4 separate regions of the Mus musculus genome follow, and all the other regions are reported to be linked to region 1. Evidence: microRNA targets listed by miRTarBase, many of them from high-throughput screens and not tested one by one. Region 1 holds a microRNA gene; each other region holds the end of a gene's coding sequence.

Evidence for each region. Region 1 holds the annotated microRNA mmu-miR-1a-3p (UGGAAUGUAAAGAAGUAUGUAU, at 2,242-2,263, shown strand). A microRNA usually pairs through its seed, bases 2 to 8, with sites in the 3' UTR of a target mRNA and lowers its output. Matches are read on the target gene's strand: a 7mer-m8 pairs with bases 2 to 8, a 7mer-A1 pairs with bases 2 to 7 and ends in A, and an 8mer does both.
Region 2: the mRNA of Klf4 is a reported target of mmu-miR-1a-3p. Seed matches in the 3' UTR shown: 7mer-A1 at 2,480-2,486.
Region 3: miRTarBase lists Ucp2 as a target of mmu-miR-1a-3p. The part of its 3' UTR that is shown has no 7-base or 8-base seed match.
Region 4: miRTarBase lists Clcn3 as a target of mmu-miR-1a-3p. Seed matches in the 3' UTR shown: 8mer at 1,034-1,041.

What each region holds. Positions count from the first base shown.
Region 1 is chr2:180,386,855-180,389,992 of GRCm38, forward strand. It overlaps Mir1a-1 (microRNA 1a-1), which reads left to right and starts at 2,194; the gene lies at 2,194-2,270. It overlaps Mir1a-1hg (Mir1a-1 and Mir133a-2 host gene), which reads left to right. Exons shown (of 4, transcript NR_045331.1): 2 at 680-850; 3 at 1,613-1,699.
Region 2 is chr4:55,525,354-55,528,491 of GRCm38, forward strand. It overlaps Klf4 (Kruppel-like factor 4 (gut)), which reads right to left. Exons shown (of 5, transcript NM_010637.3): 5 at 1,784-2,947. The coding sequence ends at 2,772. Among named protein-coding and RNA genes, the nearest start is that of Klf4, 5.6 kb to the right of the region's middle.
Region 3 is chr7:100,498,772-100,501,909 of GRCm38, forward strand. Ucp2 (uncoupling protein 2 (mitochondrial, proton carrier)) reads left to right here. Exons shown (of 8, transcript NM_011671.5): 7 at 1-145; 8 at 465-858. The coding sequence ends at 579. Among named protein-coding and RNA genes, the nearest start is that of Ucp2, 7.0 kb to the left of the region's middle.
Region 4 is chr8:60,910,614-60,913,613 of GRCm38, reverse strand. It overlaps Clcn3 (chloride channel, voltage-sensitive 3), which reads left to right. Exons shown (of 13, transcript NM_173873.1): 13 at 439-3,000. The coding sequence ends at 529. Among named protein-coding and RNA genes, the nearest start is that of Hpf1, 22 kb to the right of the region's middle.

The DNA.
Region 1 (3,138 bases):
CATAGTGTGTGTGTGTGAGGGGGGGGGGGGCTCAGGATAAGGCCCCACCCCAGATGCCAGAGGGGTCTACTTGGAGGTGACTGACACCACTTTCCTGTCAAGGTGGGAAACTTTTTGAGAAGTGACTCTCATTCATTCCTGAATGAGCAGCTCCTGAAGATGTGGGCTCAGACTGAATCAATCTCTGCTCTTCAGGTCCCCCCAACTTTCTGTTTGACATACAGACGCTATCATGAACACCTGGGAGTTGGGACAGAGGGCAGAGAGGCATTTGTTCTTAGAGTTCTCAGGGAGCCTAAGTGGGAGCTCAGTCACACCAGGGGTACCTCCAGAAGCTGGAAGCTGAGGCTGATGGACTGGCTGCCCTTTTTATCCTTGGCTATGTGGAAATGAAATTTTAACAGCAACCACATGGGAAATGGGCACAGTTTCTGTCCCTCGCTCATTCCTGCTGCACAAGCTTCTCTCAGTATCCTAATCCTCTTTCCACCCTGCCTAGCTACAGCTGCCACAACCAGGGGACCTCTACATGCTGCAGGCTCTGCAGAGACAGGGCCCTCCCAGGAATGGGAGAGTCTGGATGCTCTCTGGGGTGTTTCCACACAGGGACAGGGCTGGTCAGGTCATGCCAGAGACAGACATTGTCCTGCTGACACGGAAGAACTGAATGTTCTTTCAGGAGCTGGGACTGCCCTGCAGCCCCACACCAGGTCCAAGCCCAGCCAGACCCTCTGTGCCTGCACCACCTCTCCTGCAGTGGGTGTCTCCAGCTCTTTCTGTAGGTAGCCGCCTGCAGGGACACCTGTTCCAGGGTTCCAGCACTTTACCTGCAGGCTCACCTTGGGTGATGGTGAGTCCCCAGGCATGTGAGTCTCTTCCTCCTTTTCTCCCTCCTCCTCTTCCTCCCCCCCCCTCCAGACCACTGCTTTCTTCTTCCCCTTCTTTCTCTCAGTCTGAGGATAGCCTCCCTTTTGCTGCTGAGGCTCTGACCTGGAAGTCCTGCCCATCTTTCTGTTTTTCACATTCCTTTCTTCCTCACTCTGGGTGTAGAAGTTGGTAGGGCAGAAGGGAGCCTCCACTTCACTTGCGGCGAGATCTCAAAAATCAAGAGGAGAGACAAAATATAACTAAGTTTCCCAAGCATTTCCCTTGAACTTTTTTTTTTTCAAATTAGCCTATAGTTTTTTTTTTTTGTTGTTTTTTTTTTTTCAGAAGTTGGTACAGCAAACAGGCGGACAGCCCCTTTGTGTAGCTACAAACTACTATTGATCAGGGACTGATGGATCAGGAACTAGGTGAGGGACAGGGCCCTTCAGAAATAGCCTCCAGATTTCCATGGGAGCGGTTCCTTACGACCATCTTACATGGTTATGCTGCATAGCAGGGGATGGCGTTGGAGACTGTAGGTCACCAGGAGGACAGAGGGTACAGAAGCGAGAAGAGGGAAGGGGACCAAAGAAGGAGGTAGCTGGAATAGAAACTCCCTCATTGGCTTGGCATCAACTCTCAGGCCAGACTGAGCCCCAAAGAGCTGGCCAAGGAGTAGGTCACCTCTTAGTAGCCCCTAGACACTGTGAATTCAAGATCACTATCTTTCTTCTTCACTTCAAAGAAAGAGGCACTGAGACCTTCTCTCGGGGACTCTCATTTTGGGAAACAATTCATCAGGGTCCTGCCAGGGGAGCCATCGCCTGTCCAGGTAAGCCCTTTGATTCATTTCTGGAGACTCACAAAACTGCTTGTTTTCATCTGTCCTCAGGGAGCTGGGCTGTTCAAGTCCCCAGGAAAAGGATGTGACTGGTTCTTAGTCTGGGGTACGGGTCCCTGATGGCTCGTGGGTGGAGCTGCTCCTGAATTCTGTCTCCTTACCCCACCCTCACTGTCCTTGGTGGTGACAAGGTGGGCAGGAAGGAGAGAGAAGATGTTAGTAGAGTTGGATGCTATTTCTTAGAGTCTGGGATGTGACTTCCCTCTGTTGGGAAGAATGGGAAAGAACTCATTCCGTTGAGGGAGGTGTAAGCAACGGTGGGGATGAAAAGGGTTTTGAGACTTTTCAGCACGCCCTGTCTGCTTCCAGTCTTTACCAAGTGTGCATGTGTGAGAGAGACTGAGACACAGGCGACACCAAAAGGGGGCCAGCTTGTGGAGGGCCACTTCCTCGGAGTCCTGTTCTTGTGCACACTGAACCTACCTGCTTGGGACACATACTTCTTTATATGCCCATATGAACCTGCTAAGCTATGGAATGTAAAGAAGTATGTATTTCAGGCTAGGAACTCTCTCGCCAGACTGAGGGGTGGCCCATGCCCTGTGGGTGGCTGCTCGGGAAAGGCAATGGACCGATGGACCGGCAGGGCCTCGGGAGGCCGACTGTAAGGGTACCGGCTGTGTCCCTGTCCCTGTTGGCATTGTTCTGCCACTTTGCCTGTGTCAGCAGGTGGAAGTGCTCGTCAGACATTAAATATTCAGTGTGCTGACTGCGGCAGAGGGAGGAGGCCCTCTGGCAGGCCTGGGGTCCCGAGCGGGGCCAGCAGGGTTGGGGGTCTGGAAGCTTGGCTTGGGAATGGAGTTGTACTGATCCTTGCTGTGCTCTGAAGGAGGCCTCTCCAGCAGAAAGGGTGTGGGGACCGGGCAGGGACTGCTCAGACCACTGGGAGAGGCAGCAAGTTCTAAAAGGTGGTGCTTGGTGGTGGTGGTGGTGGTGGTGGTGGTGGTGGTGGTGGTGGGGCATGAAGGGAGGGGAGAGACTTTGGTAGTCACGTGGTAAAGGCTTTTGAGGGATGAGTCTCCTGCTGGCCTCTGGCTCACAGGGCCTGGTGGGGAGGGGAGGTGGAGAGCCCTGCGCAGACACTGCTGCCCACTGTGTGCTGATTGTATCTGCTCACTGACAATCTCAGTGTCAGCTCTACTCATGGCTATCCTGGCCACCCATGGTGATTCAGATAAAGGGAGCCCAGGGTCTGAAGCTGTCCCAGTCTGGATGGAGGAGTTGGCTCTGGGGACCTGGGTACAGCAGCTCATCCAGGGACCCCGGGGGGGGGGTGGGGGGAATAGGTTATTTCGTTCGGCCGACCCTGGGCCCATTCCTTCCCTGGCTGCCCCCATCAGAGCCTCAGCATCATTCCTTCACACTCTCTC
Region 2 (3,138 bases), not on the chromosome of region 1:
AAGCATACTGCAGTTTTATTTTACATAGGTTAAATTCTTTAAAAAAAAAAGCCCAGGTGTATTTTACTTTTATTCTTAGAAAAGCAATTTTCCTGTACTTATTATTTGTGAGTGTTTGCAAATTGATGGGGAGGGGTAGTATTTGGTTCTCAAATCCATTTGGACTGAAATTTGAAGCCAAGCAAACTACTATTCACTTTTTCGTGTTTCTTTCCAATCTTTTTATTTCCTATTGTTTTTTCTGCTCCTCAACACACATACCCAAGCCACATATGACAGTGAGCATATATACATACAGCACTGGGGAGGCCGGGGCAAGAGAGTCCCTGGGTTAAAAGGACAGTTGAGTTGCAAGGAGCTCCAGGCTTGCCTGGAGCTACAATAAGCAAACCTACTTAAACAAACAAACAACAAAAAGCAAGGACAAAACCAAACAGGAAACAAAACACAGCCAGGTTTGCTAGAGCATGCCCATAACCCAGGAGTTTGGGAGGGAGAGGCAAGGTGACCAGTTCAAGGCCATTCTCAGCAACAGAGTTAGGATTGAGCCAGCCTGGGTGACAGGAGACAAGCCCAAACTCAAGTATACAATTGGAGTCTCGCTGTTTATTGTGTTATATCCTGCCTTCTCCACTTAACATACCATGAACATTTTTCCATGTCATTAGCTTTGCTTTGAATATATTCTTGACCACATAAAATTCCATCTTCCTGATGCACCTGTTTCCTTTTAAGCAAAGACACATGCTGTGGTTTCAATCACACTGGCCTCTTAAAAGTCAAAGAAACTACTTTGCCGATCTCCCATGAGCTCCTTGTGAATCTACGTTTCTAAATTCCATTTATAAAGCATAATACGGTGTAAATACAACTCCAGGCACTAGGTACAATGGATGGTTAATAAGCACTCTAAAGAATAAGCCAGTCAGCTTCTGCTCCTTTCATCTTCTGAGTCACCCACACCACCATTAACATGTCTACAAGTATCACACAGACTTTTCCATTTTGTGACAGCTAAAAATAGTTTTGCTTCAACCTGGAGAGGTGGCTACCTCTCCAGGGTTTTGCTCAGTTGCACCCCACCACTGGGCTACACAGTCCTGTCCTTCAGGGTTTGAGTAATTTTTAAATTGTTTCCATGCCTTCAGAGACATTCAGGAAGCTTTGAGATACTCTGTAGATAGTATATTTTGGATCTCTTTAGGGATAATATATGCAGCATAAATGAAGCCCTTAATCCTCAGGAGGGCACTGTGGAACTACATTCTGTTCTTAGGGTTGTTTGCCTGGGGAAGGTTCTTTTGTTACTTAGATTCTGTGGGGACTACAAGGCCAGGCCTGCACAGAAAATGATTCATAATTTCATTTAAAGACAAAATGTAACATGTACATATACACACACGTTTGTGTGTGTATGTGTCTATGTGTATAAATATAAATGTATGAAACTAGAGTGTTCTGGCCTACTGTTTAGTGCTCCCTGCTAAAATTGAGCAGATCAAAGAATAACTGAGCCACCTACCTGGAAATGTGCGTTTGGGTAAGGAGGTATACTTCTGCATTCGTACTAAACAAACATGAACCAGATGTTTTTTAAGGTCCCATCCGTACAGCTCTCAACTCCAACACTACTTCATGTAAAACTGAGTAGTCTAAAAAAGCAAGTTGCCTACATCCTCTTGCTAAGGTAAGGTTGGCTTCACAGTGTGGTTCTCACCAGTGGCCCCCCCCCCCCCCCCGTTAAAAAGTTCTTTTCCAGTTTCGAAAAAAAAAAACAAAGAGATTGTCGTTCAGATAAAATATTATAGGTTTATTTAAAACTTATTTCTCACCTTGAGTATGCAAAATACAAACTCCACAAAATGTTCATTTTTTTTTACTTTGTAGTTTACAAATATACAAAATAGAAGTTTGCTTAAATTTATATTACATATTTATTAAGGCAAGGAACTATATAGAAAAACACATTTGTTCTGCTTAAAGGCATACTTGGGAATAAACCATTGTACAAATTATTGCACATCTGAAACCACAGTGCATAACAGACTGTCTGCATAAAAATGTTACAGAAATAAACCAGGCTTATTTACCTGGCTTAGGTCATCAATGTAGATCGGAAGACAAAACTAGATTTTCCTTGTCAAAAGTATGCAGCAGTTGGAGAACTTTGGCTCCCCCGTTTGGTACCTTTAGAACCACGACTCACCAAGCACCATCATTTAGGCTGTTAGAACATGTTCTGTACCTGAATCGCTTCCTCTTCCTCCGACACAATAATGGCTTTTTTTTTTTTTAAGAAGGCAAAGAGCATACAAGGTGATCTTTACGTGTGTATTGCATCATCGAAACACAATTCAAGGGAATCCTGGTCTTCCCTCCCCCCAAGCTCACTGATTTAGTGTATACCCTGATATCCACAAACTTCCAGTCACCCCTTGGCATTTTGTAAGTCCGGGCATGTTCAAGTTGGATTTGGTATTGGAATGATAGAAGATCCATCCAGTATCAGACCCCATCTGTTCTGTGATTTTTTTTTCTTGTTTTTTTTGTTTGTTTTTTTGTTTGTTTGTTTTTAGTATTTCTGTTTTGTCTCTTGAACTCTTCCTTTCTCCTGATTATCCATTCACAAGCTGACTTGCTGGGAACTTGACCATGATTGTAGCGCTTGCCAGCTGGGCTCCTCCCCTCGTGGGAAGACAGTGTGAAAGGTTAGAAAAAAAAATACTGAACTCTCTCTCCTGGCAGTGTGGGTCACATCCACTACGTGGGATTTAAAAGTGCCTCTTCATGTGTAAGGCAAGGTGGTCCGACCTGGAAAAGGCCCTGTCACACTTCTGGCACTGAAAGGGCCGGTGCCCTGTGTGTTTGCGGTAGTGCCTGGTCAGTTCATCGGAGCGGGCGAATTTCCACCCACAGCCGTCCCAGTCACAGTGGTAAGGTTTCTCGCCTGTAAAGGGAAAGAGAACGGGCTGCTGAAGCCATTGCTAGAAGGAAGAATTAGCCACCCCCCTTTTTTTTCTTAAAAAAAAGGGAGAGGCCAGAGAGCAAATTCTACTGCATGCCCCACCCTCTCTCCTTTCAAGAAAGTAAAAATATAATAATAATAATAAAAAAAACCTTCAGGAATGTCTTTATGAC
Region 3 (3,138 bases), not on the chromosome of region 1:
CCGGCTTCTGCACCACCGTCATCGCCTCCCCTGTTGATGTGGTCAAGACGAGATACATGAACTCTGCCTTGGGCCAGTACCACAGCGCAGGTCACTGTGCCCTTACCATGCTCCGGAAGGAGGGACCCCGCGCCTTCTACAAGGGGTGAGCCTCAGATCCCCTCACAGAACTCCAGAGAAGTGAGATGCAGCCAAATGTCAGACAGCCCATAGTTGCTGTCACCTCTGTTTTTTAGAAGTTAAAATGAGCATTCAGACTGGGGGTTGGGGATGGGTGGGTCAGTGGTGGAGGGCTTGCTTAGCATGCTTGGAGACCCTGGGTTCTGCTCCCCAGCACAGCAGGAGTAGGGAGCTGGGTACTCGGGATTCTTGGGCATGTGGCCATGGGTTGGGTGGATGGATGAGCCCAGTGGTTAGAAGCAGGTGGTGGAGGGACCTCCATGACTTGTGTTTGCTCTCTCTAGGTTCATGCCTTCCTTTCTCCGCTTGGGATCCTGGAACGTAGTGATGTTTGTCACCTATGAGCAGCTCAAAAGAGCCCTAATGGCTGCCTACCAATCTCGGGAGGCACCTTTCTGAGCCTCTCCATGCTGACCTGGACCCTGCTTCCCAGCCCTGCCCTGTCTTTTTCTTCATCCTCTGCCCAGTCCCATTCTCTTCCCATTTCCTGCACCCCGATTTACTTCCCACCTCACCTCCCTGTGCCTCTGTACTGATGACTCACAGTGAGGAGGCCTGACACCAGACCCTGAGCCCTCAGCCCTTTCTACAGCTAAGCCCACATCTTCATCTTCATCCCCAGCCCAGCCCAGCCCAGCTCAGCCAGCCTTCACCCATAAAGCAAGCTCAATGTTGGTGTCTTCTTTCTCATATGTTTACAGAGGTCTTGGTCCAAGGGACCTTTTCAGGACCTTGGCAGGCAGGTGAGGACCCCAGTGTCTTTAAAAAGGGATGTGACCCACATTCTGCCTGTAACATCTGAGAGGGGCTGGAGGGTCTTCCAGTCTGTTCCTCCAGACCCAGTGTTGGCTCCAGAGATCAGTGGCACAGCCAGGGGACACTGCAGCCTTTGTCCCTCCTACCCTTTCCTGAACACCATGTAAGCTGTCACTCAGTACCTGGTACTCCCACCCACACTGGCCAGGCCTGTCTATCTGCAGAGTGGAAGTATCCCTGCCCCTCCCACATCAACTTGTTAGGAGATGTAGGGAAACTCCAGAACCTTCCATTTTGGGGGGGAGCTTACTTTACTCTGTTTTACACATAGCAACCCACCTCCTGAGGCCATAGACCTACAGAAGACAAGGCAGGCTGGCCTCAGCTATAATCACACCCTGAGACATGCTCTGAACCGGGGGTGGGTGGGGACAGGGCAGGTCTGACCCATTGAAGGGGGCTCAGGCTCCCTAGCCAAGATCTAGCCTGTAGGGGTGTTGTTGTTGTTTCAAACGGGGCTTCACACTAGCACACTGGCCTGGAACTCGCTGTGTAGTCTAGAACTCATGACAATTCTGCCTGAGTTTCTCAAGGCTGGGATTACAGCCACCTGTAGCACCCGACCTCTGAAGAGCCTTTCTGATGGAAGCCTTACCTTTTCCCCCAAGACTGGGGACCAGTCAACGCTTAGATTGTCAGGGTGTTTCAGTCAGTCCTCTTTCCCGCCAGCTCTCCTCAGCCAGGAGAGGGAGGCAGGACCACTCAAGGAGCAGGAACCACCGGTGAGGTCCCTCCCAGAGCAGGGCGGGGCCTGTCAAGTCTCCACGACCCATTTTATACATTTCAGACATCTCCTACGGGTCACCATCGAACGCCAAGGCAAGACACACAGTGCTGGGTCCTTGGGGGATTGTCTGGCAGCTGTGAAACTGGGCCCAGACAATAGGATGTCCTCTCGGCCTAAAGTGATGGCTTCTGCCCCTTCACCTCTTTAGCAGAATGGGTCAGAGCTAAAAAGTTAGACCTTCCCAGTGCTTGGCAAGAGGCCAGGCTGTTCGATTGGCTCCCAGAGAAGAGCACCAGTTCTCCTCAGCTTCTGGTAAATCCAGCCCCGGTCTCGGTCCTGAGGCAGCAGCAAGCCGCAGTGAGGGTTGGCCGGCGTGCAGCTGGTGCTTCAGCACACAAGGGCACAGCAAATGAGGATCTGGTCATTGTGTTAGGTCCTTCAAGGGACAGTTTACTACCAACAGCTGACAAACAGGTCAAGAGAGGGCACAGTGTGTCCAATAGCTCCTTCACTAGACATGTGATATAGGTGTGAGACCACTAGACTCCATGACTAGGAATGCTGTCAGTTGGCCTGAGGAAGGGGCAGCAGTCTTTAGAAAACAGCATAGCAGAGACCTTAGCAATGCTTCCAGAGGGATGCACCAGACGCCCTGCTTTGCCTTCTAAGGCAGCCCAGTTACTGGCTGCCTTAGAAGTTACAGGGATCTCATAAAGGGCATGGTGGAGGCCTGAGGCCAAGCTTCCCACAGAGCCCTCCAGGACAGAAGTCCTAGTTCCCCAACCTCTCTACAGAACTGGAGGGTCACCCTCAGAGCAGGAGGTTACAGTCACCTTCGTGTCAGTCCTGCCACAGGGCAGTGAACACTCCACCGTCTGGTCCCACAGGTCTGTAATGAAGGGGTTGAAGTCTTTGCTGTAAAAACTAGAGCCTGGCAGTGGAGTCTCCCCTTTAATCCCAGCAGTGGGGGAGGTGGGGGCAGACTCTGTGAGTTCAAGGTCAGCCAGGGCTACACAAAGAAATCCTGTCTCAAACAAAAACAAAGATGGATCCTGAGGGCTGGAAAGATGGCTTGGCAGTCAAGAACACTAGCAACTCTGGCAAAGGTCCTAGGTTCCAGACCCAGGGCCCACACTATAGCTCACAACCATCTGTTTAACTCGAGTTCCAGGAGTTCTGGCCTCCGAGGGCACTGCAAGCATGTGTATGGCACAGTAACATGCAGGCAAAACAACTTTATTCCACAAAAAGGACCTAGAGAAATGAAGTGACTTGCCCAGGAATCTGACCGAAGGCCCACATTTGACTGTTAAAATGAGATGCTTCCTGGCTGGAGCCCCAGCCCCAGAGTCTTTATCTCCAGGTGTTTTTTGGGTTTGGTTGTTTTTGAGACAGAGGCTCTCTGTGTAGCCCTG
Region 4 (3,000 bases), not on the chromosome of region 1:
TAGTCTGCATACAACTAGGCAAATTATTTCTTAAAAATTTTGGTTCTATAAACTATTGCGGTTTTAAATTGTTTTCTAATATAATGGCAATAGGTTCCTTTTCAAACTGGATCAGTATTACTTTCTGTTCAAACATCGTCCCAGTTTTTGCTACTTTTCTGTTGGCATACGTGAATCAGAGCAGCCCTGCTTCAGTGAGGCCTGCGTCCCAGCCCCAGTGGGAAGGGCCTCACACTCTACGTGGCCACTGTATTTTTGTCAGAGGATGGTTGCTGGGTAATTTCATTGTCTTTGCAGTAAAACACCTTTTAAAATAAGCACAATCAGGCTGCTTGCTTTGCTCTCTATTCCTGTCAACAAAAAGGATTTATCCATAGATTTAGTTCCTCTTGTCTTTTCCCTTTTATTTTAATAGCTTTTTCTGTTTATCCTTTTCAGACGCCTCCTTGGCATTATAACAAAAAAAGATATCCTCCGTCATATGGCCCAGACGGCAAACCAAGACCCCGCTTCAATAATGTTCAACTGAGTCCTGTAGATGAGGACAGAGAGGAGACAGAAGAGGAAGTTCGTTTGTTGAATAGCACAATTCTTTAATCTGCGGGACTCGTCCACTTTTTTCTTCTTTCAAAAAAAAAAAAAAAAGGAAATACAAGGCGAGCTTTGCAACCCGGTTTGCAAATAATGCTGGGAGAGCAGAGGGATTGTTTGGGGAGGGAGAAGGGAAAGAGTGAGGTATTTCCCTAGCTACCTGGAACAGTAATTCATCTCATGTTGCTCTGCACCTCACTGGCTGCACTCCCTGAGGAGTGCAGTGGGAGTGCAGGCTTGAGCCTCCGCGGAGCCGTCCGTCTGTCCCTGGGATCCTCGAGCGTCTGGCGGTTCCCTCAGCACCACAGAGACGCATTACAGTCCCTACTTCTGGAGGGACTACTTTGAATTGAGCCATCTATTAAGACTGCAAGGTCTTGCCCTTTTATACCAGAACTGTTGTGTTAAACTCATGAATTGTATAGTTACGCATCACCTTTCTACATTCCAAAAGAGCTTCTCTGTCCTCCCTCCCCCTTCCTCTGGAGCTGTAACGAAACCTCTCTGGTGTGTCCTTTTGAAGCAGTCCTTTCTCATATTGAGATGTACTGTGATTTTACTGACGTTTCATCACAAGAAGGGAATGTTTCTTGTGCCATTAACCATGTAGTCTGTACCATCACTAAAGGCTTGGGAATGTGTGCACACACCACTGCTGGCCAAGCAGGGAAAATCTGGAGGTGTGAATGCAATCTCCCAGCTTGTGTGCTGTGTGGTTCAGAATCTAAAACAAACTTGACTCTAATCAGTTTTATTTTTTCCTCTCAGACTTTATGGATAATGTGACCTAGTCTTATGCAAATTTTCTATTTCTGAGATGACTACTATGACAGAGAAGTGCTGTTCAGCATAACGAAAGCAAGCGCTGCTGCCGTGACTGTAAAGAGGAGGAAGGAGTCTGTTTAGCTGTACCTGGTATTAATTGCATGTTAAACACTGGAATTTTGTTCTTCAAATTAGATCATTCTTTTATTTCAGGATGTTTCACTGCTGACACTGGAGATGAACTGTAATTCATAACTTGCACTAAATGTATATTTCTTTTCTTAAAAATTTACCATTTTTATTTATATTTTTATGGATTAAAATTTATAAAATGCAGATCAGTTAATATTGCACATAAATAATTTTACCTTTTTAATGTGACTTTTTTTAATAGACTAATTCTGACTTACAAATATGGAGGTATGAGTAAAGATTACCATGGGCACAAGGGTTTAAGAAGAGGTAGTCATGTCCGTGACCCAGAGTACACATGATACCTTCTGATTTCTCACTGCCATCTCCTGGCCTATGCCCTTTGACCTGTCCATCTTGACCACAAACTAGAAAGTTGAAAATACCATAAATTACTAGTACTAGATTAAAGCCAAACTTTTTTTTTTTTTTAAGAAAAATCAATCAAAAATGAAAACAAGAAAATCACAGTGTGGTTATAACCTTTGAATCACTGGGTAGGTCACAGCCATCCCTGAAGTGTTCTGTGATGATTTCAGTAGATATGGTGCACGTTTTACAGATTAGTTATAATGTACCTCAGAGTATAAGGAGTTGTTATTGGCAGTGTTTTAATCATGGTCTTAATTTCCAACTGGCAAAGGGTGTTTACTCACTAGACTGCCCAGCTAGTCTTCAAGTATGCATTTTTCAAAGGCCAAATGCATTTGTGCAGACAGATATTTTCTGAAACAACTGGCATGAGCCATTTTTAATAAATATGAAATCACATTAGGTCTGTATGATCTTGAAGACTTAGAAAATCAGGAAGCCATATTCGAGTGATCCAAAGTTCCCCAAAATTGCTGTCTGCCAGTGATATTTTGTCTTTTTACTCCTGATGGCAGATTTCAATATTCCTCGTTGCTCTTTGGCTAAATAGAGTGGACTCATTTTTAATGGTAGTTCTGTAGCTCTGAAAGTATTCTTGCAGTATGGAAGACACTGCTGGGGTAGGAACTCTTCAGCACTGCTGATTGGTGGCTCAGCCCCTTCTGAGTTCCAGGTCTTCAAAGGAGACGCCAGTTTCTTTGTAGTTTAACGCGATGAAACTGAACATGATTTTTTTTCCCCCACATTTCCTTTTCTTTCATATTCTGGTTTCATGACCCATCTTCAGAGACTGACATTTCAGGATCCATATTAAAGCATTCATTTTCTTTGTTACATTTCTCTATCTGATGTGTCTTACTGCTGAAACACATGAAAAGTGACGTGTTTTTAATGCGTTCAGAGGTTTGGAGTTTGTTTTTTCTTTCTTTTGGGTATTACTATCTGTTCTGTTTTTCTCTTTTCATAAAGGTTTGGTTGATTTCCAACCAAATAAGATAGTGGATACCATGAACTACATGTGCCTAGCTAATTGGCAAACTTATTGACCAATATACTAAGTGCAGCGCCTCATTTGAGTAC